Arabidopsis thaliana: one gene and its partners. The protein of the gene in region 3 interacts with the protein of the main gene of each other region in a biochemical or structural test. Each region holds a gene or a part of one and is shown on either strand. Other genes may lie near its edges.

Region 1 (3,817 bases), on a different chromosome or scaffold from region 3:
TTGAAAATGTTGTTTATATTCAGTTTGAAGTTTGAATATTGAAATTGCTTGCTTAGATTTCATCCAAATATGGATAAATGTTTTGTTTTTGGGAATTTGGTTGATTCATGTGGGCATTAAAGGCTTGTGGTGGGTCCAAGCGTGAGCAGATAGTGTAAGAGACCCACGTGTGTACTTAATTCTGATGAATAATGTGTTATGTACACTGGCACAAATATCTTGCCAAGTAGTGAGTGAGTGTTTGTTGTTTTTTGAATGTGGGTTTTGTTGCAGTATGCAGAGAGCATAAAGATGGATCATGAGAAGAAAGTGGAGCAAGTGAGGAGGCTTGAGATGAAGAGAGCTGAGTATGTCAAGACTGAGAAGGCTAAGAAAGACGTCGAGAAGTTAGAATCTCAGCTCTCAGTATCTTCACAAGCCATCCAAAGCGCCTCTAACGAGATCATCAAGCTCAGAGAGACCGAGCTTTACCCTCAGCTTGTCGAGCTTGTTAAAGGGTTTGTTTTGTGCATTCCCATTGCTTCATTAACCTAAAGTATCTTATGTTGGTCAATGTGAACAAGGTTCTTGTATGAATGTAATGTAGGCTAATGTGTATGTGGAGGAGTATGTACGAGAGCCACCAGGTTCAAACCCATATTGTGCAGCAGCTTAAGTACCTTAACACCATCCCCTCCACTGAACCAACATCTGAGCTTCACCGACAATCAACTCTTCAGCTTGAGCTCGAGGTCCAACAATGGCATCACTCTTTCTGCAACTTGGTCAAGGCCCAACGTGACTACATACAATCTCTCACGGGCTGGCTCAGGTTAAGTCTGTTCCAGTTCAGCAAGAATCCACTTGTTAGGAGTAGCTACGAGTCAAAGATCTACAGCTTCTGCGAGGAATGGCATTTAGCTATTGACAGGATCCCTGATAAAGTAGCATCTGAAGGGATCAAAAGCTTTCTGACAGCAGTCCATGGAATTGTGGCTCAACAAGCCGACGAGCATAAGCAAAAGAAGAGAACAGAATCCATGTTAAAAGATTTCGAGAAGAAATCGGCTTCGCTGAGAGCGCTTGAGAGCAAGTATAGTCCATACTCGGTACCTGAGAGTAGGAAAAAGAACCCGGTGATAGAGAAGAGAGTAAAGGTTGAGATGCTAAAAGGAAAAGCAGAAGAAGAGAAAAGTAAGCATGAGAAGTCAGTGAGTGTGACTAGAGCCATGACTCTAAATAACTTGCAGATGGGTTTCCCTCATGTCTTTCAGGCAATGGTTGGGTTTTCAAGTGTGTGTATGCAAGCCTTTGAGTCTGTGTACAACCAAGCTAAGAGCATCGGTGAGGATCAAGAGGAGGTTAAGAGGTTGCTTCCTTAAAGAGAGAAAGACAAATTGTTTTACCATTTGCTCTCTGTTTTTGCTTGATCCAAGCTAATCTTTTGGTTGAATGTTAGGTTGAGTTTATGCTGTTTTCGAAATGAAATTGGTTAAATGACTTTTCATTGAATCACTGCTTGAAACTTCATCAATTCAACTACTTCTTAGCCAAGTCAAATCATTGGAAGGTGACCTACCAAGGTATTATTAACATTGGAGAAGTGTTAGTTAGTTAGTTAGTGAGGTAGTTAAGGGGATTGCTTAAAGAAGTAAGCAAGTTTAATGATAATCAAACACTCGTGATGTGTACGTAACAGAAGAAAAGAGAGATGATTCGTTTGAGCGGCAGAAAAAGACAAGTGCCTAATTTGATTTCCCATAAATAAACACACAATCGATTGGTAATTTTGATTAGTTGGGAGCTATTAAAAGAGGAAATCCACAATAATCGGAAATAGAAAGACAAGTTTGGTTAGCGGAACGTTTCAACGCCATTTTTCCCGGCCAAAGCTAACTCTAACTAACTCTTTGTTTTTTTTCGGTTTTTGTGCCATCTTCCAGTTTTCATTTTTTTTGTTTCCCCTCTATCTTTTTGGGTAATAGGGTTTCTAATCTCTGGGACAAACTCCAATCGTTTCGAATCCGCAATGCCCAGATGGTCGATCAATAGAAATATCAAGAGTCTCCAATTCCAAAGGCTAAATCTTTGAGATCTTTTTTTTTATAAATTTCCCTGAAATTAATAAACTTTGAGGGGAAATGAGCGCTTCGAGGTTCGTAAAGTGCGTGACGGTTGGTGATGGAGCTGTCGGAAAAACTTGTTTGTTGATTTCTTACACAAGCAACACTTTCCCTACGGTTATGTCCCAATTATTCTTTCATGTTTCTTGTTTCATTACCACAACAACAACATATCTCATGTTTCTTGTTTCTTTTGTGGATATACAGGATTATGTGCCTACCGTTTTCGATAATTTCAGTGCCAATGTTGTGGTTAATGGAAGCACTGTGAATCTTGGATTGTGGGACACTGCAGGTTTTTCATTTTCCTATATATCTTGGTGTTTGAAATTTGGAATATGGTTTTTGGATCTGAAGATTTTGAAAATTTGGGTATGAATAAACAGGGCAAGAGGATTACAATAGATTAAGACCACTGAGTTACCGTGGAGCAGATGTTTTCATTTTGGCCTTCTCTCTTATCAGTAAAGCCAGTTATGAAAACGTCTCCAAAAAGGTTTTAAAAATCCATCAATCTTGTTTCATATTATTGAGTTTTCGTCACATTTTTTGAACTCTTGTCACAAATTGTGTTTGCAGTGGATCCCGGAGTTGAAACATTACGCGCCTGGTGTCCCCATCGTCCTTGTTGGAACAAAGCTTGGTGAGTTTTCCATTGTTTTTTCCTGATCTCGCTCCTTTTACTTTATTAGTTGTGACTGAGTTTGTGTTTTTGCTCTCCAGATCTTCGAGATGATAAACAGTTCTTTATCGACCATCCTGGTGCTGTTCCGATTACTACTGCTCAGGGAGAGGAGCTGAGGAAGCAAATAGGAGCACCTACTTACATCGAATGCAGTTCCAAAACTCAAGAGGTACGTAGATTAGTATATATACCCTTGTTGCAGATTTCTAATGTTAATGTTAATGCTAATGTTGATGATGTGAGAGTGCAGAATGTGAAGGCGGTGTTTGACGCAGCCATCCGAGTGGTGTTGCAACCGCCAAAGCAGAAGAAGAAGAAGAGCAAAGCGCAGAAGGCATGCTCCATTCTATGATGATTGGAAATCTCTGTTTTTATGTATTTGGTTTTGGTATATTAATCTTCTAACAATGAATGAATCAATGTGTTAATGGACAGACACCCAAGTTTGACTGGTCCTTTTTGTTCTTAATATTAATGGAGTTTGTCGGAATCAACGTTTCTTTTGCTTCTACGATTCAGTCCTATGCATAATTCCACACAAACACCACATGTTTTGAATCAGTTTTCATTCCCACCATTTCTTCAGCTGACCATATTTTGTATGTTACTGTTTTAAACTTTGCAAACATGTTTATTGGTAGAGAGTGTAACTAGGAAATGAAAAGTAATGATACAAGTTTTATTTCTCAAGATTACTCTTCATGCTTCTGCAACAAGACGAGAAGCCATTGATTATTGATGATTTGCCTAACAGAATGCAAGAAATAAATTCATTCAAACCATTCCATTTTGATTTTCTCGTATTTCTCATTCATGCCACCATCTTCTTGCTGTCTCTGAAACTCGATGTAACGTAGAGTACTATTTATGAATGGCTCTGCGCCTGACTCAACCTTCTTTGTCTCGCTTTTGATTAATTCAGCTAAGCTCTTGATTGTATCGCCTGTTACTTGTTGGTTTCCTTTCTCCAGGAAGTAGAGATACCTGCATTTGACTCGTAAAACCATTAAGAGAAAGCAGTGACAACTGG
Region 2 (8,358 bases), on a different chromosome or scaffold from region 3:
CCACATCTTCATCAAGTATTTTCTTTAAAATGTAGGGGAAAAAAAAATCTAGTTCTTTTGTTCATAGTCAACCTGGACCAGTAGGTCGTTGGGCCTTGGGTCTTCAGTCACGTCGGCAATCAACATTCACTTACCCATTTGAAACATTGGATCAGCGTGACCAATGCCAACCCATTAATCTAAATGGTTTAAACAATCAAGCGTGCAAGGATAAATGCATTGGACTTGAGAGAACAAGATATGGAATTTGAAATGTTGCCTTACCAGTTAACAAGTGTCTCTGTTTCCTCCCAAGTTAATGTACCAAAACTCTTTGGTGCTTAATTGTGGGGGCTTTTATAATATTGGGTACATTTTGGGCCATAAATTAGAGAAAGAGCACATTATGATTGAGTTTATGAAGATAGGCAGTTTTTGGGAAATAAATTGACGAAATTGCCCCTGCGATTTCACTCATTCTCCTAAATTGTTTTTGCAGAATCTTTTCCTGAATTGTTTTTGCAGAGCCTCATATTGGATCGATTCCTAACTTGTTTCAATGGATGATGTATTAAGTACAGAGATTGATTATCCTATTTCTCTACTTAATCAATGTTTCTTTCTACAAGACAATATATACACAAAAGATGTATTTACGGAAACAAAATCGATAGAGACAAAAATTAGAAAATCTGTTAATAACATTTCATCACCATCCAATTCAGATAAACCCCAATAAAATCAGTTAAAAGCTTTTTGATGGAAGAAAGCTAACCCCTAAGAAAATATTATATAACGAACCCAAATATACTAATCTTAAATAATTGGAATCGATTAAAATTTTCAATTATTTCTTATCCCTCTTTGAAATTGAAGAAAGAGAGGATGAAATTAATTCAGATCAAACAATTCAAATTCAAAAAAGCTATGGAGGATTACCACCTGCATCGTCGAGGAAGAAGATTGGCCAGGCATAGATCTGAATTTTGTAAGGTGATGGAGAAGCAATGGACATCAATGGTGAGTTTAGAGGCAATAGATTCCATGCCATTAGAGAAAGAGAAAGAGAGAGAAATAATCGCACATTTCTGAGATCGATTGATATTGATGAATTCTCCTCAATTAGATTGAAGGTACAAGGAGAAGAAACTCAATTAGATTGAAGGATAAAACAGTCATCCATATAATATAAAAGTATCTAAATTTGTAAGGAACATGAGATGTTCCTATATCTACAAAAGCACAGACTTTAATATGCTAATCCCATAATTGATCCCTTAATTGTGTGTGTATTCAAAATAAGCCCACTTCTTATAGGCAATGTAACACTTGACTCAAAAGCCAAAGCAGCCACTTAAATAGTTAAGTTACATTAAACAGAGAAGCAGCCTTCCCTAAGTTAAGCATTCTTAATCTAACCAAATATAATTCATATCTAACAATGTTAACTTCTCTTTCTATTCTTAATAATAACCTAACAAATTAACTTGGGTGGTGTACTATTCTGAGTTTGTTACTTGTCTTGTCCATGCACGGCTAGTGCTGGTGCTGTCTTAGAAGGGCTTGAAGGTACGTGGCTGTTGATACAGAAAATGTTTAAAGAGGAGACAAGTCTTTGTCAAAGTTTGCGGATGACGGCTATGAAATCGAAAACGAATTTTCTTTCAGTTTTTCTTAAAAATTTTTTTTTACCTTAAAACAATAAGTTAAATAAATAAAATTAAATCGGATTTATCTTCTCGGTCGTCCGAAAATGGCAGAGTTGAATCCAAGAAGTTTTGTGTGGGAGTTGAGGTGGGAACTACGAAATTAAATATAATCTATGCGCTATTTTACAAATTTGTTAGTCCAAATCCACTATGTTGCTAATATTTAATTACATGTTTAGATCCTAATTAGTTTGATGATTATATAATCAATACCAAAGAAAGTGAAGAAATAACCTAATTTATCAACTTGCCAGCTAGTGAAGTAGCTCCTTGGAGGTTTCAGTAAAAAATAATAAAAGTCGATAAAAAAATACTACCCAACTTCATGGTTTATTATTAAATGCGATGTGGTCGAGACAAAGTACCACTTGAGTACCGTACTAGGATATGCTCAACATATTTAAAATTTTGACCAAGTCAAATTAACCAGCCAGAGATGTTAACAGTTAATGTAGTAGCCACCGGTCCAATGAAATTGCAAATGAACAAACGTAGCACCTGAAAACTCGCCACCGATCACGATCAGCACACTTTTTATGAATTGGTCAAGATATTATCTTCTATCATTAGATGAATACTTGCATGTTAGTATTCTCTACTATCAGACGGTGTGTATTTTTTTATTTATAGGGTTGAACGCTTTATTGTCCCATGCACACGTAAAAGTCGACCTCCCCATCATTTTTTCACTATAAATAGTGGTTGATTTCAAGCAGATTTCTTCAAACTAAAACATATATACATCGAAAACAACTAAGTATAAACAATAGTCATGGCTAAGTCTGCTACCATCGTTACTCTTTTCTTCGCTGCTCTTGTTTTCTTTGCTGCTCTTGGTGAGTAATGATGTTATCGTATACCATATGCATGGAAAATTGAGTTTTAACCTTTTTTCTTTCATTTTATTGTGATAATTAACTGTGAGAGATATATCTATATGCAGAAGCACCGATGGTGGTGGAAGCACAGAAGTTGTGCGAGAGGCCAAGTGGGACATGGTCCGGAGTTTGCGGAAACAGTAACGCGTGCAAGAATCAGTGCATTAACCTTGAGAAAGCACGACATGGATCTTGCAACTATGTCTTCCCAGCTCACAAATGTATCTGCTACTTCCCATGTTAATCTACCAAGAGCTCTTAATGCTTAATTATAAAGTGTGTATTTCTATTAAATAAGTATGTGTCACTCTATGAGAGGTCTTATGACATGTACCAGATATGTTATGTTGCTTTGTTTTAATAAGATAAACTTTTACGTACGACGTATACTACTGTTTCTTCTTGTCCATATTTGTCTGCAAAACTCCAACACAACACAAACGATTATTTGAAAATAGAGAATCGGAGGAATATGTTATAGTATTTCATAAAAACTGCTTATAATAAAGAGTATTCAGCTTATACATAAAAGAGAGCTAGCTACATAACACAATCTCCGACTTAATTATATACCAAAGAGATTTACCTAGCTAATTCAACTTTAAAAAACGAGGTCTTGTGTTGACATCTTTGAATTTTTATTTATTGTACTTAGGCTCGGCTACAATGTAAAAAACAGGCGGTTTCGGAGAAGAATACCAAATGTATGTTTCCACCAAAATTATGTCAATTTACAAGACTGATATCTAGAATGTTCATGCTGATCAGCTAGTTATGTGGTTATTCAAAAAATATCTATAGATATCCCAATTCCAAGATTTGTAAATTATGTTAATATAAACAAAACTGTTACTTCTATGGAGTTTGAACCAGCGTGGCAAAAATTTCCTGCACCCATATTAATATTAAATTATCTCAAGCTAGTATCTGATGTTAGATTTGTACTGTGTATCACACTGTACGTATGCTTGCTTACTTATTACTCTATTACAACAGATATTTGTGTGTTTTCATTGTTAAATAATGTAACAGAAATTTGTGGGTTTGACTGTTCTTTTTACTGAATTTCTCACTACTTGAAGTCTAACTAGAATAACATGTGACTGTTTTATAATTTATAGTTCGAGGTTGATTCAGAAAAGTCGTAAAAATCTCTCATAAATGTATTACCGTATGGCTCTATATTGCATATATGGGCCCAATGTCTCAAGTCTCAACCATGTTTTAAATTTTCAGTACTAAGCAATGCATATGTTTTTGTTAGACACAATTTTTCTTCTTTTTTTGATAAAATGTGAGTTTTTTTTTTTTTTTGAAATGTGATTAATTACCAAAATGGAAACATTGTTACTTGCAAAAATCTTTGGGACAAATAGCTTCTAAGACAATTTGTTTTTTAAAAAGCCTCAGAAACTAATAAACGCAAAGATTACAAATAGAGAACTATTACGAGCTAGGCATGGGAAAACCATTGAGAGAGCAGTCACCGCGGCCTTTGCGGTACCTTCGAGCCAGGAGAGTGTCTCTAATTAATGTGCTCCTGTCGATTTGCTTAAAGACAGAGGCAAATCTGTTATGGAGACTGTTTGTACTTGTCAAACTATGGGCCATCAGTCGACCGCAGCCATTGTTAGACACAATTAACTATGTGCGCCATCTATTATGGAGACTGTTTCCACTTGTCAAACTTTAGCACTATGCCTTTAAAGCTTTAACAAATGTTGAATGACTGAGAAACCGACAAACTTTAGTCTACTACATCTTATCTATATACTAATTACGCAACAAAAAAATAAAAAAAAATTGGATAATGTTTTAAAACATAACATATTTTACTCTTCTTCTATGACAGATGAATTACTACATTCCAAAATAAACAAGTAAAAACTCTTGTTTCGTGGATAAGCATGCACTAGGCAGTCAATTCATTTGGAGTCTCACCAAACCAAGTACCCCATGGGCCCTGGTGGCAAAAATGGTCACTAATCATGATATTTCAAGAGTTGTCATAATGGGCCTTAATTCGCTACTGGGCCTCAAGTGTGAGCCTTCGTGTTATTGTCTTTTCTAGCTTCCAGTTGTGTTAGTGTGTTTGTGCCTTTGTGTTATGGCCCTTATGGCACTCCATATTGTCACTTGAATCACTAATGTAAAGTTTATTCATTTTCAAATAAGTCGCTTTAAATAGAAGCACTAGATTTCATGATCAATCATTATCAAATTTCTTATAAAAAAAATCATAAAGCCTGAAATTCATTTCATGTAAGAATCAGAATGAATGGGTAAAGGTGTTTTTGGTTGAGAGTAGGTAGAAGCGTAGAGCTAACTCTAACCCCTTCTTTAGTTTGGTATGATTGAATATTAGTTCATATAAATATAATTGGTGAAATTTTGATGTGTCCTTGGTCCTTTAGAAGCAAACTGTAATAATGCGACCGTATGATTTGGATAAATCTAATGTGGGACAATTCATGATGTGTCGTATGCTCATTGGTAGGTTGAAAGAGAGTTGAGCACGTTCGTGTAAGATTTTTCGATTCTTATGTCGTAAAGATGAAGAAAACTCTTTAAAATTACAACTATAAAAACAAAGACAAAGACACTCTTGACAAAATTAAACCATATTAATTTGATAAGGGATTTGAGAAAAAGGAATGAAATGGTGCCGTAACACTAAGTCGCACGTTCTTGACGAGAGTCGTCCCAATCCAATGATTAATATTTGGCAATTTCATGCCCTCCCTCCCCATAGTTTGGTCGTTTATTATGCTTTACTCTTAGTTTTTTTTCTTAAAAATTATAATCTTTATTTATTTGCTGTCTTTTTTTTTTATAATTGTCAATTAGGTTAACAACTATGGTCAAATTAGAAAACATTAGTTTTTGTTAAAAGAAAATTAAAAAAAAAATCCATGTTTATTAGTGAATTAGGTTTTTATTTTGGTGGTAGTTTAGCTAATCTCATAAAACAGATAGTAATTTCATAATGTAAAAAGATATTTCTACTATACAGAAAAGGAAAAGAAAAAAAAAAACTCATTACAACGGATAATTTCTCAATTTGTATTCAAATTCAAAATTAAAAGTGCTCAAAATTAGTATTATTTAAAAGAAATACTAAAGTGGGGTGAGTGTAAATGATAAGGTGTTGTTTGGTGTAGCAAATAGCTGGCATAAGGTTGGTATTGAAAAGCTCATCTCAGAATCATCAACGGCCCAAAACACATTGCAAATTAAAGAAAAAGCAAAGATTTTCCTCATTCTTTTGCCATTATTATCTCTCATCGATTTGGCTTGCTACTTTTGAATTTACCCGTGTTCTACTACGATTCGGGATTAGGGTTTTTTCTTGAGTTAGAAAAGATTGTTTCTTGATTCTTGGGAATGGCTGGGATTTGAGGAAGAAGAAGTGCAAAAGGGTTCTTTTTTTGAGTTTGTGAATTTGCTGCGGAGATGAGTGCTTCGAGGTTTATAAAGTGTGTCACCGTCGGCGATGGTGCCGTCGGAAAAACTTGTATGCTGATTTCTTACACAAGCAACACTTTCCCTACGGTAAAGTTTCTTCCTTTTGCTCTCAGTAGTGATCTTGAAGCATTCTTTGAAAATGGGTTTTTGGAGATTATTCATCTTTGTTCTTGAATGTGATTGATTAGCTGGTAAAAATTGTAAAAATCAATTCTTGACATGTTTCTTCAGAACTTTTATTGATGCTTCCATGGATTTAGCTTCTTTGTTATTTATCTTTACCTATGAGCATTGTTCTTCTTTCATTTTGGACTTCATGTTCAATTTGTATGTATTAGTCAAATTTGCAGATATGAGGATCTATAATCTTTTCCATTATTGTGTGTGTTAATGATGATCCACTATTGTGTGTGTTTTAGTTTAACAAACTCTATGACTTGGTTACTGAATATCAGGACTATGTTCCAACTGTTTTCGACAACTTCAGTGCTAATGTGGTTGTAGATGGGAACACGGTGAATCTTGGATTGTGGGATACAGCTGGTAAATAATCCTTTTGAAACTCATCAAATCTGGTTTTCTTGTTTTTTTGTGGTTTCATTTTGACTGATAATTCTTGGGTTTGTGCAGGTCAAGAAGACTATAACAGGTTAAGACCGTTGAGTTACCGTGGTGCCGATGTCTTCATTCTTGCATTCTCGCTTATTAGCAAAGCTAGCTACGAGAATGTAGCCAAGAAGGTTAGCTTTTTGTTGATCTAACGTCTTTCATTTGATAGTAATAACTTTCGTTAAGCTGATTTTGAATTGGTTCCTTCATTTGCTTTTTTTTTTTTTTTTTTCTTTATTTCAGTGGATTCCTGAGCTTAGGCATTATGCCCCTGGTGTTCCTATAATCCTCGTTGGAACGAAACTCGGTATTGACTCTCTTCTTGTCTAAAAACTCTTTCCTTATAATAAGAAAGAGATGAATAATAATTCAAGTTTTGGAATTTGCAGATCTTCGAGATGACAAGCAATTCTTCATAGACCATCCTGGTGCAGTGCCTATTACTACAAACCAGGTACATAACTCCACAATTCTTTAAAACAATAGTGTTTTTTGCTTTGCGAGTTCTTGATCTTTAGTTGTTTGTCTGCAGGGAGAGGAACTAAAGAAACTGATAGGATCACCAATCTACATTGAATGTAGTTCAAAGACTCAGCAGGTATACTACACACATAAATAATATCTCACATGTCTTTTTGTTTGGGATTTTTGTATTTGGTAAGACAGTGAAAATGTTGATTGTTGGGTTTTGCAGAATGTGAAAGCAGTCTTTGACGCAGCCATAAAAGTGGTGCTTCAGCCACCGAAACAGAAGAAGAAGAAAAAGAACAAGAACCGCTGCGTGTTCTTGTGATCGAACATCTCTTAAAACGAAAAAAGGTTTAGGTAACAAAAGAAGCTGAAGGAAAACGAACACCTGCAACATTGTATAGTTGTTGAATCCGGCTTGTTTCGGTCTTTACTCTTCTTTTTGCTGGTGAATCTAATGAGTGAACTGAGGCCAAGAGGAGGATTCTGGGTAAGAGAAGGGGATGTGTTCTTTTCTTGGTGTGTTGTTGTTGTTGTTGTACTTTTGCTATGTAGACTAATCTCTTAATACTATGTTGTCTTTGTTTTTGCTGTTGGGGTCCATTTTGTATTTTCTTTAACAGAAATCTTAATTAATTTTTTAGTGACTTTTTTTAAGCTTCCGTTGATCTTATGGTCTTGTATTGGTATGTAATTAGATTCAGACAACGAAGAACATCTTGAGATAGATCTCTATATACAATAAGATTAGAGACATCGTTGAATTGAGGCATAGTTTCAAAGAATGGTTTACAGAAACGAGGATTCTATACACACAGGTGAGGTGAGTATAAGGAACAAAGAAAATAACAATTACAAAGGTTTTCTCCATTTTGTAATAAGACCGAAAAGAAAACAAACATGTGTAGTGTACACTTCCTTTTCAGAGTTTCCAACATTTCTTTGGAAAATACAGAGAATTCCTCTCGGGATTTGATGAGGCTTGTGTCTCGGATTTAAGTCACAGCTTGATAGGGTCATATTTCTCACCCATCAAACCACCTTTCTGTTTTATGAACTTAATGTAACGCAATGTACTTGTAAAGAAGGGATCTGAGTGGATTGTCGTGTTACCGTTGTCGCTTTGCATCTCATTGTTGATCAATTCTATGAGGCTCTGTATATCAGATGGAGTGATATGTGGATTCCCTTTCTCAAAGAAGTAAATGTACCTGTTGTATATGAAAAAAACATTTTTAGTATTGAGATGC
Region 3 (7,626 bases):
CAAACATAATTTATTTATCAACAAGTGAATACTATATAATTTAACATACGGTTAATGTAGTTGAATCGTATCGTACATTAGTGTACAACTTTTATGTAGAATACCAAATACAATGGGTTAGTTTGGCATTAAAGGTAGGGCCCAAAGGAGGGACAATGGGAGACTTCAACAAATGCCGGTTGCGTGAGGAGAAGGTAAAGGTCATGTCTCTTGTCCAAATAATACAATGTGGATTTGTCGTCAACGAAATCCATATCGACTTTTTTTTTTTTTTTTTTTCTCTTCCATATGTTCTTGTTGTATGTCTCAACATAATATTATTTTTAGTTGCGGTCAATAATTGGGTTGTAGAGAAAGTTACGAAAAATGAAAATTACATGTCAAGAAATGATACTTTACTTGCTCATACTTGTTACTCACTCGGCTTGTTAAGCTTTATTGTGATAGTCAATTACTCGTTTATATTTCTACTAATCCAGGATATTTCTACTAATCCAGGTTATTACAATTTCACAAAATATTATCAAAGTGAACTATCATTTTATTTGAGTTACGGTCTTAATTAGATGAAAACAAACCAACCCCTAGAATCTATGGATAATGAACTAACATGCTAAAGTTTTGACCAAGCGATTGGAAAATCAACAAACGAAATGGAAACTATTATGTGGCAATACTCGAGTACTATAGACCCAACTGACCCGACATAATCTCTTCACTTTTTATTTTGTTATCTAAAAAAATTCGGTATAAAGCCTTGTTTGGTTTCAAATTTTATCCACTTGAGAATCTCATATATCAAGATGAAACACCTACAACAACAAATGTAACTTCATATGTCAGGACCGGTCCGCAGGACAAGCATGTAATAAAACTGTGTGTTTTCTACATTTTCTATGAAATGGGTGTAATTGAAAGATACTAAATGTTAGGGCTTTTCAGAAACTTCCGTTACGTTTTAGGCGTTTAACACAATTATTATTTTCTAAAACGAGAGCCGTTTAAAGAGAAAGAGAAATTTCTAACTCCAGAGAGCGAAGAACACAATCCCAGAGTAGCAGAATCTGATCCATCCCACCTTTTTCAATTCTCAGGCAAAGGTACGATCTTTCTCCTTCCCCGTTAGAGATCAGCCTTAGATTCGTCATTCTCGTCCATTGAATCAATAGATCTCGAATAATTGTCTTGTTTTATTGTTTCTTCTCACGCTGTTTTGATGCTCTTGCTTGATTGGTGGATCCAATTGAAATTAGATCTCTGTATCGATTCGGTTGATGCCATTTTTATGATTCTTGTTCTGGATTTCCACTGTAATGGAGCTGATTTAAATAGTTCTATATCTGCATGTGTAGAGAGATTGTTGGCTGTTTCAATTTTCCTTATGGAGCTGACTCATTTTTACAAAGTGACTTTCATGTTTGATTCAATTCATTACCTTTTTGCTTGAGTTAATGTGTTTCTCAGTGTTGTTCATGTTGTTTCTCAGTTTTGGGTTTGTTTAATGTTGATTATCTTCATTCTTCAGTGTTTGATCTCATATTCAGATAAGTCAAACTTGAAAAAATGGAAGGGACTGTGTTCACGCCTTGTTTGGAAGGAATGAAGCATGTCAAATCTGATCAAGGCGAGATGCTTACTAAGCCATTTTTAGAGCTTTGCAAGACCATCTTGCCTGTTATAGGTAATAAAGGGAGAAGCTTTTTCTAATTGTTTCTTTGTCTGTCTTAATACTTTTAATGAGGTTATTGACATTTGTTATTGTGATTGTTCCTTGTTCTTCAAAACTTCGAAGTTCACGTATAGCTTGTGATTGTTCATTTTTCCTATGTAACACAAATGTTGTGTTTCCTACATGATGACTTCATTTTTCTGTGGTTATCTATTTTCCAGATAAATTTGGAGCTGCTATGACTCTCGTGAAATCTGACATTGGTGGCAACATAACGGTAAAAAATGCATTGTCTGCCCCTTTGATAATCGAATAGCACAAATCTATTTTACATTCACAGTACAAACTACTGACAAAAATGCATTGTCTGCCCCTTTTCTCGCTCTTCTTAGATTGTAATGTGTACCTCTGATGGCGGAGAATAGGCTAGTGAAAATGTCCTGTAGACTGTAGTAGTGATATGACCTCTCTGTATTGGATTATTGTCTTCTTACAATATAACTTTATTGGTCCGTCTCTTGTGTAGAGGTTGGAGAAGAACTACTTATCTGATCCCGACAAGTTCAAGTACTTGTACACCTTTGTTCAAGTCGAAATTGAGTCTAAGATAGCAAAAGGATCGTCTAGCTGTACAAACGGTCTTCTCTGGTTAACCAGGTAAACGATGACAACATGTCAACAATACACACCTTTATTTCGAAGAGAGCAGCTTCTCAAAACCATATATATCACCTATGAGTGAATCTTTCAGAGCAATGGATTTCTTAGTGGAGCTGTTCCGAAACTTGGTAGCACATCAAGACTGGTCAATGCCACAAGCTTGTGCTGACTCATACCAAAAAACACTCAAGAAATGGCACGGATGGCTCGCCAGCTCTACCTTCTCTGTATGTACTCACTAGTGCTTCTCTGTGTAATCAGCATATTCTGCAAACCAATCTCATTTTGATTTCCTGAGACACGGTAAACTTTGTTTTTATCAGATGGCTTTAAAGCTAGCTCCGGACAGGAAGAAGTTCATGGATGTCATATCTGGTTCTGGTAACATCCAAGCCGACATGGAAAGGTTTTGTGCTGAGTTTGGTCCGTTTCTTCATGATAATCATAAGTTTCTGGTAAACAAAGACTTTAAAAACTTTTGAGTCTTTACACTTTCTTCAATTTCATCACACAGGCTTTGATTATTTTGTTCTTGTTTTCTTTTTGGCAGGCTAGCGTCGGTATGGATGACATGAAAGCTTCTTAAGTCATCATATGATTATCGCCGGTATCAAATCTTCTTTGCCGGAATCTTTGTCTGTTTTAACTTTTCTCCTTCCAATTATAGAACCTCCAAAAAGAAACAGAATAATGTGTTGGTTTCTATCTGAATGTTCACTTTATATTACAAGTTATAACATACGAATCAATCTTATCAACTCTTCTTGTTAATGTTTGTTATGAAAACTTGAATCTTTCTTTTCATAATCTAAGAAATTTATTTTCAAAATATTTCACATAACATAATAATGTTTAACTTGTTAAAAAATAATGTAAAGTCTTTAAGATAGTAAATCTCATGCTTCAAAGTTCAAACCATTTTGCTTACTATTGCAAAATCTCTCAATTATTATCTTAGTATTCAGATATCACATTTTTCAGTATTTGCAATCTATGCAATTTCTCTAAATAATACTTTATACTATCTTAGATTTCATTAGAGTATGTTTATTAGTAAAATAAGAAATTGGTGTGGTCGTGTCTCCTTCCATTCGACCCGGAAAATCCTCTTGACAACTTGTTTCCCAAAGGAGGGTTCCCTTTGATAATAGCTCTACGTTGCCTCCATTACCAATCAACAATCTAATTATAAAATTATCTGTTAATTACAACTATGAAAATATTTCTTTCTTTTCTAAATTTTTTTATCCTCTGTTAAAACAACAACAAAACTTAGTGCTCTTCCTCTTCTTCTTTTTGGTCTGTTGATCTTTAACCAATAACTCCTCGGAGATCTCTCGATCCTTCTCTCTCTCCCTCCCTCCCTCTCTCTCTCTCTTCAAAACATTTCAACATTTTTTTTTCTCGTCAAGAGAAAATCCATGCGTTCAAGGTTTAAGTCTTCAGATTTCGTTATATTCTCTGTTGTTTTTTTGTTTGTGCCTTACAACTTTTTTCTTGATTTGTTCTTCGTTTTCTTTTTCTGCATGTTAGGTTTACGGTAACGATCGTCAAATCTTGAACCACAAAGGTTGTATCCGGCGTGTGGATACACATTAGCCGGAACCAACCCTTTATAGACCAATGGCGACGACAATGAAGGGTCTTCTTAAGGGCCTTCGTTACATTACTCAGATTTTTGGTGAGTCTCATTCATTTTCCCCATAAACATGAAAAAAATGAAAAATCATTTGTGTTTCTTGTGTCAAAAGTCAAATTACATGGTGGATGTAATTATTCTATTGCAGATGAAGAGAAAGAGCAGGAGATGCAGATAGGATTTCCGACCGATGTAAAGCATGTTGCCCACATTGGCTCCGACGGTCCAACCAACACCACACCAAGCTGGGTAAGATCATACGTACATTTATACGTATTTTCATACATGTCACACGTATCTGTGCTCATTATTGTTTTTTTATGGGACAAAAACTGCAGATGAATGACTTTAAAACTCAAGAACATGAGAAAGGTCAAGTCGTTTCCAGGGGAAATTCCAACAAATACAACCCGCAAGGTTAGTTATTTTTGCAAAGTGTGTTTTTCCTTTTCCCTTAAAGTGTTAAGCTTTGAGGAACAAATCTGGATTGGTTCGAGGAATTGATGTGTATCTCAATAGGGACGAACCAACGTGGAGCCGGGCTAAAAGAGTTACTGCCTTCGAACACAAACGAGAAACCGAAACAGAAAACAAGGCGGAAACCCGGAGGAGCAGCTTCTCCAAATCATAACGGGTCTCCGCCTAGAAAAAGTAGCGGAAATGCTGCATCATCAGATGAACCATCAAAGCATTCAAGACATAACCGAAGCGCACACGGGTCAACAGACTCATCGAATGATCAAGAACCATCAGTTCGCAGAAGGCGTGGTGGTATCCCGGCTCCAGACACAGAAGTTCCTAATCAAATACCTGATGGTTCAGCTCCTCCACGGAAGGCTACATCGCGTCCTAGGAAACTAAAAGGATCATCAGCAGGAGGAGAAGGTTCGATTAAGAAGTCTTCAAAAGGAAAACCCGAGAATTCAGTTGATACAACCTGTAACGATATTATCTGAGAAACATAAACAAAACCATGAAATGTATTATTTGAGCCACCTGCAAGTGAGAGTTTGTTTTCGTTTCTCTTTAAAGTCTTTTCTTGACAGTGTCTGATACAACAACTCAGAGATTCCATTGATACTTACCAAAATCTAGAAAGGAAATGTACGAGTACTGCAAAAGGAGAAGCAAGAAATGTATATAATAAACTTTGCGATCATCATATCTATTTCTTGCGAAGATCAATGCCGGCTTTCTTGGCAACAGCGTCGAGTCCGTTCTTCTCAATGGTCTTCAAAGCCTTAGTTGATAAACGAAGTTTGACAAAACGTTTGCCAGCTTCCCACCAAACTCTCTTGTATTGTAAGTTGACGAATTGCAACTTCTTGGTCTTGTGGTTAGAGAATGAAACTTTGTTTGCTCTGTTTGCTTTCTTCCCAGTAAAAGGGCAGATTCTACCTGACATTTTGGAAAACAAAAACACAGTTTCAAGAAAAAAGGAGCAAATTGCCCAATGCTCAGAATCATATAAATGTGGTCAATTTTGGAGAATTTTTTTAACATAACATCAAATTCAAAGGAAAAGTTTAATACGAGAAATTATGCTACGGGTTTTAAATACACTGCTCATTTTCATATCTAAAAGCAAAGACATAGTTCCAGACAATTCAACACAAGCTTGCTAACTCAGAGATTCGAAATTCGACATGAATAAAACGAAAGCAAGATAAATTTAGTACGCCAATGCATTCGACTAAACCCTAAGAGAAAGGGAAAAGGGGAATTACGTGCGACGATTGGCTGAATCCCGGGGAACGAAGGAAGGGAGATACGGTTGATGACGTCACTGGGAGTATATGAGATTCTTAAGCCGCTGAGCTGGGAGGTGAGGAATCCAAGCTCCTTTGAAGTCACGGTTGACTTGGTCATGGACTTGGCTGATGAGGTCATTCGTAGCCAAGCGCCTTGTGTCGCCATTGTCGTCATTTTTGGTTGCTGTTACTTCTGCTTCGAAGGAGGATTTGGATAAAGAAGGAGATTGGGTTCATTTTATTTATTATTTTGTAGAAAATGAAAGACGCTTTCTCATTCAGAAGGTTACGTTCTCTTTTAACACAACAATTTTTCAGTAAGCAAACCGGTCCATATAGCCACCAACACAATAGTATGGTTTCATCTTTCCCTTCTTGGATTCTCTAATACATAAAAGTAACGAGACACAGGTGGTGATGAATAATCCAACCTGATCAATCCCAACGATTACAAAGAGATTTTTGAAGGGTTTTTGATTGTAGATGCTATGTATCTCTGAACTCGGTTTGAACCGGTTATGTGGTAAAGATGAGAAGAATCACAGAGTCTCACTTGTTGTGGGATTATTTACCCACTTGGGAACCGGATTTGGTAAAGCTCTTTAGAAACATATTCTGCTTTCACAATCCGGTTATCATATAGCCTTCCGTGTAAAGAATGGGCTGCATCACATGTCGCTTCTGGTCTTCTGTACTCAATGAAGATACAACCCGTCTCAAATACATCCTCGGGGTCTTCTTCTTGTTCTTCTTCTATCTTGTCGCCAGCATCCCATCTTGTCTTCACGGTACGCACTGATGCTACTTCTTGTGGATTCTCTGCCTCGGCCTGCGCACTTTCTTCAACAATCTTTTCACAATGCTCTTGTTCAGTGGAGTGTAGATCTTCATTTTCTTGAGTGCTTGTTTCAGCAGCAGTATCCGAGCACGGTTCACATAACTTGTCTTCACCTGTCAAACTGTCTGGCATGACAACCTCTGCAAGATCTACATTGTCTGCAATATCTTCCGCTTTCTCGGATCCTTCATCTTTCTCCTCGATCACTGACACATTCATTTCTTTAGAATCAGTTGATTCTAAGTTCAACAATGGATTTGTTTCAGAAACAGTGATATCTTTGCTCTTGTGTTCCAAGATGTTTATCGACTTAATAACCCCAAACCTGCATCATGACAAGACCCAGAGGCCTATTTTCTTAATTTACTAGCTTTTAAAAGCTCAATGGACTCATGGGAAGATGATCTCAGAGCTTAACCTGGCACATTCTAACCGTACATCCTCCAAAATTTCTTTCACTTCTTGCTCGGAAAACGACGTGAGATCTTCTGGGTCAACCTGTCAAACAAGAAAGAATGGAATGTTAATATAGCCTCACATAGTTTATTTGGGAAAGATTCACAAGAAAAAGGATACACCAATTATGCTTACCACATTTTTTAGCTTTAGAATATTCTTAGGCTTGCCAAGAAGTGGTTTTGCATGGCTAGGTATCCCATAGAATGGTGGATTCTCATTCACCTGCAACACATATTACGTACACACACCACTCTCACAAGTAACTAAAGGAATTTCTGTTCAATGTCACCCATACAAACACAACATGAACTAACGAAAGCAAAGTTGGGTCACTGAATTACCGCTACGGATGATGCATCAGGAAATGCACAAACGGCTGTTATTACACTGCCACCTAACCTCATACCATTTAGACCAGCACAAGCTTTGAGGGTAACAGATCCATCAGTGTACTGAAATATAGAGATTTAAAAAGAGTTAGGGCTGGTTAATATGAATATACTTGGAACTACAGTCACATTCATGGTTACTCTGTAAAAGTTACAAGGTAATAACACCTTCCCATGCTACCCGGAAAATGAAAAATTAAAGATATGAAACAATCACAAGA
Region 4 (8,782 bases), on a different chromosome or scaffold from region 3:
TCGAAGAAAGCATCACAAACAAACAAAAGTATCCTTGGGATAATTATTTATATACAACGCACGAGTAATTCAAAAGCTACAGTGAGGAGCTATAACCAATAGTCTCACTTACCACATGGGAAGTTACATAATCAAAGCTCATGGATTTCAAATTTAGGATATATACAGTATGTTCTATTGTATATGTATTGGACTAATGCGTTAAAGCTGTTATAGTGTGAGAAGGACGTAACGAGAGGTCTTCGTGGACCTAATAATAATAACGTTTTACGGTTTTATCCAAAGACCAAAAAGCTACTAGATCTACGATTCAAACCAACACGCATAAAGATGAAAATTAAATTTTAAAAACAGATCTATAATCAACATGTCATGTTTGGTTGGTCTATTTTTTTCAAGTTTTTGAACACTCCCAACTTTCCCTCCACTCCTTTAGTTTACCACAATACCCAATCTATCTAAACATGTAACCACCAAACTCCAAATAATTTGCATGGCATGTTTGAGTAATGTGATCCATGAATTTGCTTCTTTTGTAACAACAATGCTTCTTTTGTAACAACAACAAAAATGTCTCGTGGAATATATGTTTGTGCCATTCGGATGAAAAATGAATTGAACGATGAAAAGGGCTGAAGAAAAACAAAGGGTTCGATTACCAAATATATAGAAACATGAAGGGCCTTTTATGTGATTTATTAGGGAAATGATAAACGCAATCAAGAAAAATAATTCTACGTTTGAAACGTGACGTTTGATTCTTTTTCTCAGGGCAAAGGCAAAGCAAATCCTCTGGTTGATCAGTAACATGTGGCAGAGGAAGAGGAATCAGACACTGCAAGGAACACACACGAGAAACGTCTCTCTCTTAGTTCTGGTAAAGTTTTGACCTCTCTCTCTCTCTTTTTCTATCAGAATCTGTAGAGTAGTAATGGATTTTTAAAGCTGGTTGATAATAATTTTTGGATCTAAGTAACAAAGGAAAGGCGTTACTCTTTTTTTGTTCTTTTCAAATTGGCGTAAAGTAAAGAAACTACTTTTTATTTATTTTCTCTTAAATAGATTAGATTATGATTACACCAAAAATAAAAAAACATGAAGTAAAAAACAAGGGTAGGTGAAGAAGAAGAAGAGGACAAAGAACAGGCGTGCTTAAGCAACGCTCATCTCTGTTTTAGGTTTTTGTCAACGATCCCTTTTGCATTAGGTTGAGAATTAATTCTGAATTTCTTGCATACTAGCCAGTGTGTATATATAATCAAACAATTCGATCCTAATTGGAAAATTTCTCCATCAGGTTCAGGTCTCGATCGAATTGATTTGAAATGGGTTCGTTTGGGATGCTTTCGAGGAGAACGTTGGGCACTGATATGCCCGTCATGGCTCAGGTCAAACCTCGTACTTCTCCACTTCCATTTTCATTTGATTTGATTTGATTGGTCTCTTGTCTTTTTTTCTTTAAAGTGAGAAATTGTTGGGGTTTTGCGTGCAGATTCGGAGTTTGATGGCGGAATTGACGAACCCCATGTCTCTCGCCCAGGTTTTGCCCTCTCTAGAAATGTGTGTTTTATTTATAATCTAATCTAGTTTAGTTCACAAAAGACTTGGGCTTTCGTGAGTGGTCACCTTCTTTGGCTATACTTTGTCTGGAGTTTTGTTTTGTCTGCAGGCTGATTCTTTTGCTCATGTGCTTTTCAGGGAGTGGTGCATTGGCAGCCTCCTCAAAAGGCCTTAGAGAAGGTCAAGGAGCTTGTCTGGGATCCTATCATTAGTTCTTATGGCCCCGATGAAGGTCTTCCCGAGTTGAGACAGGCTCTTCTCAAAAAGGTAATCGCACCGTACTGAACCATTCTTCTAGCTAGCTCTGGCAACCTTTCTTGTATCCAATAAAGTGACCACTTTTGCTGCTCTTGAATCCAATTCCGTGACTGAGCTTGTTTTATTTTTGATTCCTTGTCTTGTTCTGAAGCTGCGTGAAGAAAACAAGCTAACCAATTCACAAGTGATGGTTACTGCAGGTGCCAATCAGGTATAACCTGTCTTTGTTTACTCTTTTGATTGCTCTTCCTTCTGTTTTCTTCTACTCTCATACTCTGTTTCTGTTTTTGCATCTAATGTAGGCGTTTGTGAACCTTGTTATTACATTATGTGATGCTGGTGATTCGGTTGTCATGTTTGAGCCATACTACTTCAACTCCTACATGGCCTTTCAGATGACAGGAGTCACCAACATAATTGTTGGTCCTGGCCAGTCAGACACTCTCTATCCTGACGCTGGTACCTCCTTGATTCTGTATCACGTTTTTCATGACTTAACATAGCTTTAGTTGTGACCAGTGAATCATTTTTGTTCCAGACTGGTTAGAGAGGACACTGTCTGAGTCTAAACCGACTCCGAAAGTTGTAACTGTTGTGAATCCTGGTAACCCAAGTGGCACCTATGTCCCTGAACCGCTGCTTAAGAGGATTGCTCAAATATGCAAAGATGCAGGGTGCTGGCTGATTGTAGATAACACATACGAGTGAGTTTCTCATTTCCTTAATTCCTATGATGTCCAAATTGAATGTAGTAATAAGCGGGGATTTGAAAATCGCAGGTATTTCATGTATGACGGTTTAAAACATTGTTGCGTTGAGGGAGACCACATTGTTAATGTCTTCTCTTTCTCTAAAACCTATGGCATGATGGGTTGGAGGCTTGGATATGTGAGTGCTCGATTCAATTCTATTCCAAACTAAACACTGGGATTGTCTTATAAAAAGGTTTGATGGACCTGCAGATAGCTTACTCAGAGAGATTAGATGGGTTTGCAACAGAGCTTGTGAAAATTCAGGACAACATCCCAATCTGTGCTGCCATAATCTCGCAGCGACTGGCTGTATACGCATTAGAGGAAGGTTCTGGGTGGATAACGGAACGGGTAAAGAGTCTAGTGAAGAACAGGGATATTGTGAAAGAGGCGCTTGAGCCGCTGGGGAAGGAGAACGTTAAGGGAGGAGAAGGAGCGATATACCTGTGGGCAAAACTGCCAGAGGGACACAGAGATGATTTCAAGGTGGTGCGGTGGCTGGCTCACCGCCATGGTGTGGTGGTGATCCCGGGGTGTGCAAGTGGTAGCCCCGGGTATCTCCGGGTTTCCTTTGGAGGGTTGCAGGAGGTTGAAATGAGAGCTGCAGCGGCGAGGCTGAGGAAAGGAATAGAGGAGCTGCTTCACCATGGAATGGTGGAGTGAGACGTTGTTTAAAGAAGGGTCAAAAGATGGTTACTTTGCGTTTGGTTGAAGCTATATAGTTGTTTTAAAAAGAAATAAAAGAGTGTTTGTTTATTCAATAATCAATATAGCTGATTCTTCTTTACAAAGTCATTGTATTTGGGATGTTGTTACCAATGGTTGAATCCTTAACCCCTTTGGTGTATGTATATACTCTTTACTTATTCAAATGAATAATCCAGCAATGAATGCAAAAGCAAAAACTGGATCAGCTTTATTCGTTATGAGTCTTTCTCTAAATTCAAAAATTTAAATTCGAGTCTTATGATTGACGTTATGACTTGTGAGAAATTGATAATCTGGCCTTTTATTTGAAATTTTAATTTCTGAACCCAGAGGATAAATAAAGTTAAAATCGATGATGATTTTAGGCTTTATTGGTTTGAAAGTGGGCCGTAGATGGGCCCGAATCTAAAATATTTGAATCGAACCCGAATAAAGAAAGAGAGGTTGGATCATAACTACCATCGACGTGGCTTCCATCTTCTTCTACTTTGTCTTCCATCTTCGCCGACGAGTCACATCTCCGAAATCCGGAGCCGGAGAGGGAGAAAGAAGGAGAATTTGGGTTCTCCGAGATCGAAGCTCTTGCCTCGGAACCCTTGATTTTGTTTTGGAATAGGCTATTTTTTTAGTAAAAGAGGAAATGGTGGGAAGTAGTAATTCGTTAGCGGGTCTACAAGACCACTTGAAATTAGCGAGAGAATATGCACTAGAAGGATCCTATGACACATCTGTCATCTTCTTCGATGGCGCCATTGCTCAGATCAACAAGTAAGTAGCTCCTCTTATCTCTCCAGTCTTGAATCTAGCTTTTTTGTCACCCCTTTTGGCAATTTCTTCAAGCCCTAAGCTACTTTAATAGTTTCGTGTTGGATTGTATTGAAATGGGCTTAGAAAAATCTAGAATTTTGCAATGTTCACCGTGCAATGTCTGTGTAGACAGAGATAGAACACTCTTATGTGCTGCGTTAGTGGTTCTGAAGCTATGGTATACTGTTTTAGGCATTTAAACACCCTTGACGATCCTTTGGCCCGGACCAAATGGATGAACGTTAAAAAGGCCATAATGGAAGAGACGGAAGTTGTGAAGCAATTGGATGCAGAGAGGAGAGCATTTAAAGAAGCTCCCACTGGGCGTCGCGCTGCTTCTCCACCTATCAATACCAAATCATCCTTTGTTTTTCAGCCCTTGGATGAGTATCCAACTTCATCCGGTGGTGGTCCTATGGATGATCCTGATGTGTGGAGGCCTCCTACCCGTGATGTTACTAGTCGAAGACCCGCCAGGGCTGGTCAAACTGGTACTAGAAAATCACCTCAAGATGGGGCTTGGGCTCGTGGCCCTACTACACGGACCGGTCCAGCTTCCCGTGGTGGCAGAGGTGGGGCTACTAGTAAGTCAACTGCAGGTGCCCGCTCTTCCACTGCCGGAAAGAAGGGAGCTGCCTCAAAATCTAACAAGGCTGAGTCTATGGTAAGTTATATGTTTTTGCCTTTTGGTATTGCACAATAGAGAAGGTTAAACTTGAAAATTTTCCATCAATCAATATTGACTATGGCATTTCCATTTCCATTACTTTACTTTGGTGATAGACAGGATGTCATGAAACTTCGAAGTTGTTATGTTATAGTAGGACTGATGTATCAAAGATCATGATTTCTGTTACGTTTATGAATGTCTAATTCTGAAATCTGTATTTAGAAACTTTAGAGTCATGGCCATGTTTCCTGTGGTTATGTTGAGTCGGTAGTTTCCACCTATTTTCAACAACTAATAAAACTTTCGGCTTCCTCGTTGATATCAGAATGGTGATGCTGAAGATGGGAAGTCAAAAAGGGGATTGTATGAGGGACCTGATGAGGACCTGGCTGCTATGCTTGAAAGGGATGTGTTGGACTCAACTCCTGGTGTCCGTTGGGATGATGTTGCAGGTTTGTCTGAAGCCAAAAGGCTGCTTGAGGAGGCAGTTGTCCTTCCTTTATGGATGCCCGAATACTTTCAGGTACTTTGATTCTGCTCCATACGCTGTGAAATTTGGATTCTATATTACTATTATTAGACATGGAGCAATCATACAGAATAACAGTTTCAATTCATCATTTCCGTAGACTTTATATTTGATCTTCCAGGTATAGAGGATACTTAATTTGATTGTTTTTGTTTCCCTTCAGGGTATTCGAAGACCATGGAAAGGAGTTCTCATGTTTGGTCCTCCTGGGACAGGTAAAACCCTGTTGGCAAAAGCTGTTGCAACTGAGTGTGGTACCACCTTCTTCAATGTATCTTCTGCTACATTAGCTTCAAAATGGCGTGGAGAGAGTGAGCGCATGGTCAGATGCCTGTTTGATCTGGCTAGGGCATATGCTCCAAGCACAATTTTTATTGATGAGATCGACTCTCTCTGCAATTCTCGGGGGTAAATTTTCCTGACGATACTGAGATTTCGATACTGAAATGAAAAGTATTTGTAATTGGTGGAGGTGTGATGCAGGGGTTCTGGAGAGCATGAATCATCAAGAAGGGTGAAATCGGAACTCCTAGTTCAAGTAGATGGAGTGAGCAATACAGCGACAAATGAAGATGGTAGTCGCAAAATAGTAATGGTATTGGCAGCTACCAACTTCCCGTGGGACATAGATGAAGCTCTCAGGTTTAAATATTCTTTGAGTTAATGCCGTCTTTAGACTTGCTCTAATATAATGAAATTGCTGATTCTGGAGCTCACGTTGGTGCAGGAGGAGGTTGGAAAAACGTATATATATCCCACTTCCAGATTTTGAAAGTCGTAAGGCTCTTATCAATATCAATCTGAGAACAGTTGAGGTTAGTTGTGGATACATTGTTACAACACTCGCAAATCTCTCTACTGGTCCAACGCAATCAATTTAGCAATGAACATTGTCACTTTTCAGGTGGCGAGTGATGTTAACATTGAAGATGTGGCCCGGAGAACGGAAGGGTACAGTGGAGACGATCTGACTAACGTGTGCAGGGACGCATCAATGAACGGGATGCGGCGTAAGATAGCGGGGAAAACGAGAGATGAGATAAAGAACATGTCGAAAGACGATATATCAAATGATCCAGTGGCAATGTGTGATTTCGAAGAGGCCATTAGGAAAGTGCAACCGAGTGTGTCTTCCTCTGATATCGAGAAACACGAGAAGTGGCTCTCTGAGTTTGGATCTGCTTAATTAAACCCACTTTTTTTAATTTAGTGTCAAAAGATGTGTGCCTTTTCTTGTGTGTTGTTGTTTATTGTATCATTATTATTATTTGCCAGTCATTTAACATATTCTTATGTTTCTATATTCCAAACTTGTAAACCTCTACGAAAAAAGAAAAGGATTATATGATTTTCTTCGGTTTTTTGGCTTCAGACTTAGTGTTCATAATTTCTTTACTGTCTTAGAAGAAAAAAACCAGCAAAGAATCACCTTGGTCTTTGTATCTCCAATACGTTGCAATCATTTTGAAAGTATTTGTATATTTTGTAAATGATAGGGATTGAAACATCATCCTATCGTTGACCAAAAATTTCACTGCGTGCTATATAAAATACTATATATGTTACCCTTTAACTGATGAAAATGTAAAGAGACAAGGCAGCACCGTTTATCATCAGACCAGTTTCGAGAGTGTTCCTGCATCGTTGGGCTCCCTCCTCAATTTTGTCTACGTGATTATATATCATATCGTCTACAAACAAAATAAATACAATTCTATCATATGAATATGTGATCATCGATGATCGATCAATATATGTTTTCGAGGTGACGTATATAGTATATTTCCGTAGAGACGGCGAAGAACATGATATCTCTGCATGCCTCCAATCAAATCTTTACACTTCATCCTTCTTCGTTACTTGTTCAGTTGTTCCTTTCTAATCCCGACAACCCTTAATTTGTATTTCTATATTAGATCGAAATATCTCATTTGTGATAAATAAAATAAAAAAAATCAAAGAAAGCTATAGAGAAGCTGCGTGCATGCATGGGTTGGCGATGTTTGGCTTGTTATGTTTGGCTTGTTATGTGGCATTATCTGTATGTATATTACCCTAAATCACATCTACGACATTTCCCTCGATCTTCAAAATATGCCAGCAATCTTCATGTTTCCTCATATCTCTTAACATTGGAAAATGTCTTTTGACCTCTTTTGATGTATTTTAAATTACTTCGAGCTCATCTATATTACAAATCATTCATGGTGAATTATTGTCCAGCCAATAGAATAGAAATCTGAATATAATGTGTACCACATCTTTTATGTAATTTATACGATATTCTTTTTCCTGAGAATGATCAAATAACAACATGCATGAATTGCTGCCAGAAAACGTCAGATTGATCAGTTATCACTACAATTATCAATTAACTAGTAAATAGTATCAAAATGTACGTAGTGCCCATCTATAGCTAGCTAAGGAGGACTCCGGATGTAGAGAAAAGCTAAAATGTGACTTGCTAGAGTTGTATTATATTGAATTTTCTAAACTAATAGTATCTTTTTTACAGATAATAATTTCCGGAAAACCTATTAGATGTATAGATATAACAATAAGCATCGATACCAACCTTTTACTTCCAAAAAAAAATAAAAAAAAAATGCCAAGATGAGATAATTTTGTCAATTTCAATTAGTGGGAAAATAACAATTGTCGTGTTATTTTTGAACCAACGCATCTCAGTGAATGATTTCCCAGTTCTTAAGATTTTAGGACATACTTTCCCAGTAACATCTAATCCGTTTGGGCATAAACAAGACAATTTGTAGTTATGTACATTTCTTAGTGATGTGTGTTGAAAAGATATGAATCAATGAGGTCCGACATATTTTGTCAATACGTTAGTGGTGTTTCAAAATAAATTTTTAGTATATATATTAAAATAAGACCAAAGGATAGGCTTTAGTGGTGTTTCAGGTATAGTTTTAATAATCAATTCAAAATAAGTCGAAAGGATATGTAAGATAGGCGTTATTTCAACGTGGATCATTATCAACCATGTCAAAAACGCATTTCAACTCCTAGATGTGTTGTTAGTTATATATGTTCCAAATGGAATCGACCCAACAGAAAAAGAGAAAAAAACGTAAAAGGTTATGCGATTCCAGGGACGTCTCATATATATATATATTCCGATGAAATATAAATATAATTATCGTGGTCTGTGACAATAAATATGGAAATAGATGTGGAAATCATGATCATGTGAAGAAGAAGAAGAACACGTGCAGATGAACTGCAAATGATAATAATGTGCATGTCCATGAGTTATGTACTTATGTGTATTATCTACGTGTTTTCCATACATACATATATAAATCTTATATTACTTTATGGTTTTGTCGTAAAAGTTACGTAGCATCAATAATTGTGATTCGTTGCCATAAACAGACAACTACTTGTAACGGTATAAGGCTTGGCTCTCATGATAAAATGATAACCCTTTTTTTCGTCGGAGACAGACAAACGCATAAATCACTAATTCTAAACCGA

What was found.
Region 1: the proteins of RIC1 (region 3) and ROP1 form a complex in vitro, tested with the Arabidopsis thaliana proteins (one study listed by BioGRID).
Region 2: the proteins of RIC1 (region 3) and ARAC5 form a complex in vitro, tested with the Arabidopsis thaliana proteins (one study listed by BioGRID).
Region 4: the proteins of RIC1 (region 3) and ERH3 form a complex in vitro, tested with the Arabidopsis thaliana proteins (one study listed by BioGRID).

Annotation. Positions count from the first base shown.
Region 1 is NC_003074.8:19,041,077-19,044,893, forward strand, and holds ROP1 (RHO-related protein from plants 1), read left to right. Parts: upstream 1-1,781; 5' UTR 1,782-2,120; coding exon 2,121-2,219; intron 2,220-2,309; coding exon 2,310-2,397; intron 2,398-2,488; coding exon 2,489-2,598; intron 2,599-2,681; coding exon 2,682-2,745; intron 2,746-2,825; coding exon 2,826-2,956; intron 2,957-3,037; coding exon 3,038-3,139; 3' UTR 3,140-3,317; downstream 3,318-3,817. Other genes in the region: AT3G51290 (pyridoxal-phosphate-dependent serine hydroxymethyltransferase, putative (DUF632)), read left to right, coding at 274-497, 587-1,340, 2,310-2,397, 2,489-2,598, 2,682-2,745, 2,826-2,956, 3,038-3,139; VPS35C (VPS35 homolog C), read right to left, coding at 3,558-3,771. UniProt on the Arabidopsis thaliana protein: May be involved in cell polarity control during the actin-dependent tip growth of pollen tubes. May regulate callose synthase 1 (CALS1) activity through the interaction with UGT1.
Region 2 is NC_003070.9:28,469,945-28,478,302, forward strand, and holds ARAC5 (RAC-like GTP binding protein 5), read left to right. Parts: upstream 1-5,704; 5' UTR 5,705-6,019; coding exon 6,020-6,118; intron 6,119-6,486; coding exon 6,487-6,574; intron 6,575-6,661; coding exon 6,662-6,771; intron 6,772-6,883; coding exon 6,884-6,947; intron 6,948-7,029; coding exon 7,030-7,094; intron 7,095-7,172; coding exon 7,173-7,238; intron 7,239-7,334; coding exon 7,335-7,433; 3' UTR 7,434-7,858; downstream 7,859-8,358. Other genes in the region: LCR67 (low-molecular-weight cysteine-rich 67), read left to right, coding at 2,461-2,524, 2,632-2,810; VPS35B (VPS35 homolog B), read right to left, coding at 8,109-8,319. UniProt on the Arabidopsis thaliana protein: Involved in cell polarity control during the actin-dependent tip growth of root hairs, thus regulating root hair length and root hair initiation.
Region 3 is NC_003071.7:14,171,888-14,179,513, reverse strand, and holds RIC1 (ROP-interactive CRIB motif-containing protein 1), read left to right. Parts: upstream 1-3,548; 5' UTR 3,549-3,761; intron 3,762-3,862; 5' UTR 3,863-3,952; coding exon 3,953-4,010; intron 4,011-4,116; coding exon 4,117-4,217; intron 4,218-4,306; coding exon 4,307-4,385; intron 4,386-4,487; coding exon 4,488-4,924; 3' UTR 4,925-5,133; coding exon of another isoform or gene 5,134-5,366; 3' UTR 5,367-5,370; downstream 5,371-7,626. Other genes in the region: GLTP1 (glycolipid transfer protein 1), read left to right, coding at 1,564-1,681, 1,891-1,946, 2,196-2,326, 2,421-2,556, 2,653-2,784, 2,880-2,915; PRPL28 (Ribosomal L28 family), read right to left, coding at 5,134-5,366, 5,696-5,894; AT2G33435 (RNA-binding (RRM/RBD/RNP motifs) family protein), read right to left, coding at 6,288-6,882, 6,976-7,055, 7,149-7,238, 7,358-7,468. UniProt on the Arabidopsis thaliana protein: Functions as a downstream effector of Rho-related GTP binding proteins of the 'Rho of Plants' (ROPs) family. Participates in the propagation of ROP GTPase signals in specific cellular responses. Required for cortical microtubule organization.
Region 4 is NC_003070.9:30,203,187-30,211,968, reverse strand, and holds ERH3 (P-loop containing nucleoside triphosphate hydrolases superfamily protein), read left to right. Parts: upstream 1-3,700; 5' UTR 3,701-3,918; coding exon 3,919-4,046; intron 4,047-4,277; coding exon 4,278-4,749; intron 4,750-5,080; coding exon 5,081-5,278; intron 5,279-5,447; coding exon 5,448-5,692; intron 5,693-5,767; coding exon 5,768-5,926; intron 5,927-6,011; coding exon 6,012-6,099; intron 6,100-6,188; coding exon 6,189-6,470; 3' UTR 6,471-6,655; downstream 6,656-8,782. Other genes in the region: AT1G80360 (Pyridoxal phosphate (PLP)-dependent transferases superfamily protein), read left to right, coding at 1,326-1,388, 1,493-1,540, 1,699-1,827, 1,970-2,029, 2,121-2,277, 2,357-2,522, 2,598-2,706, 2,781-3,233. UniProt on the Arabidopsis thaliana protein: Severs microtubules in vitro in an ATP-dependent manner. Required for oligomerization of functional KTN80-KTN1 complexes that catalyze microtubule severing. This activity may promote rapid reorganization of cellular microtubule arrays.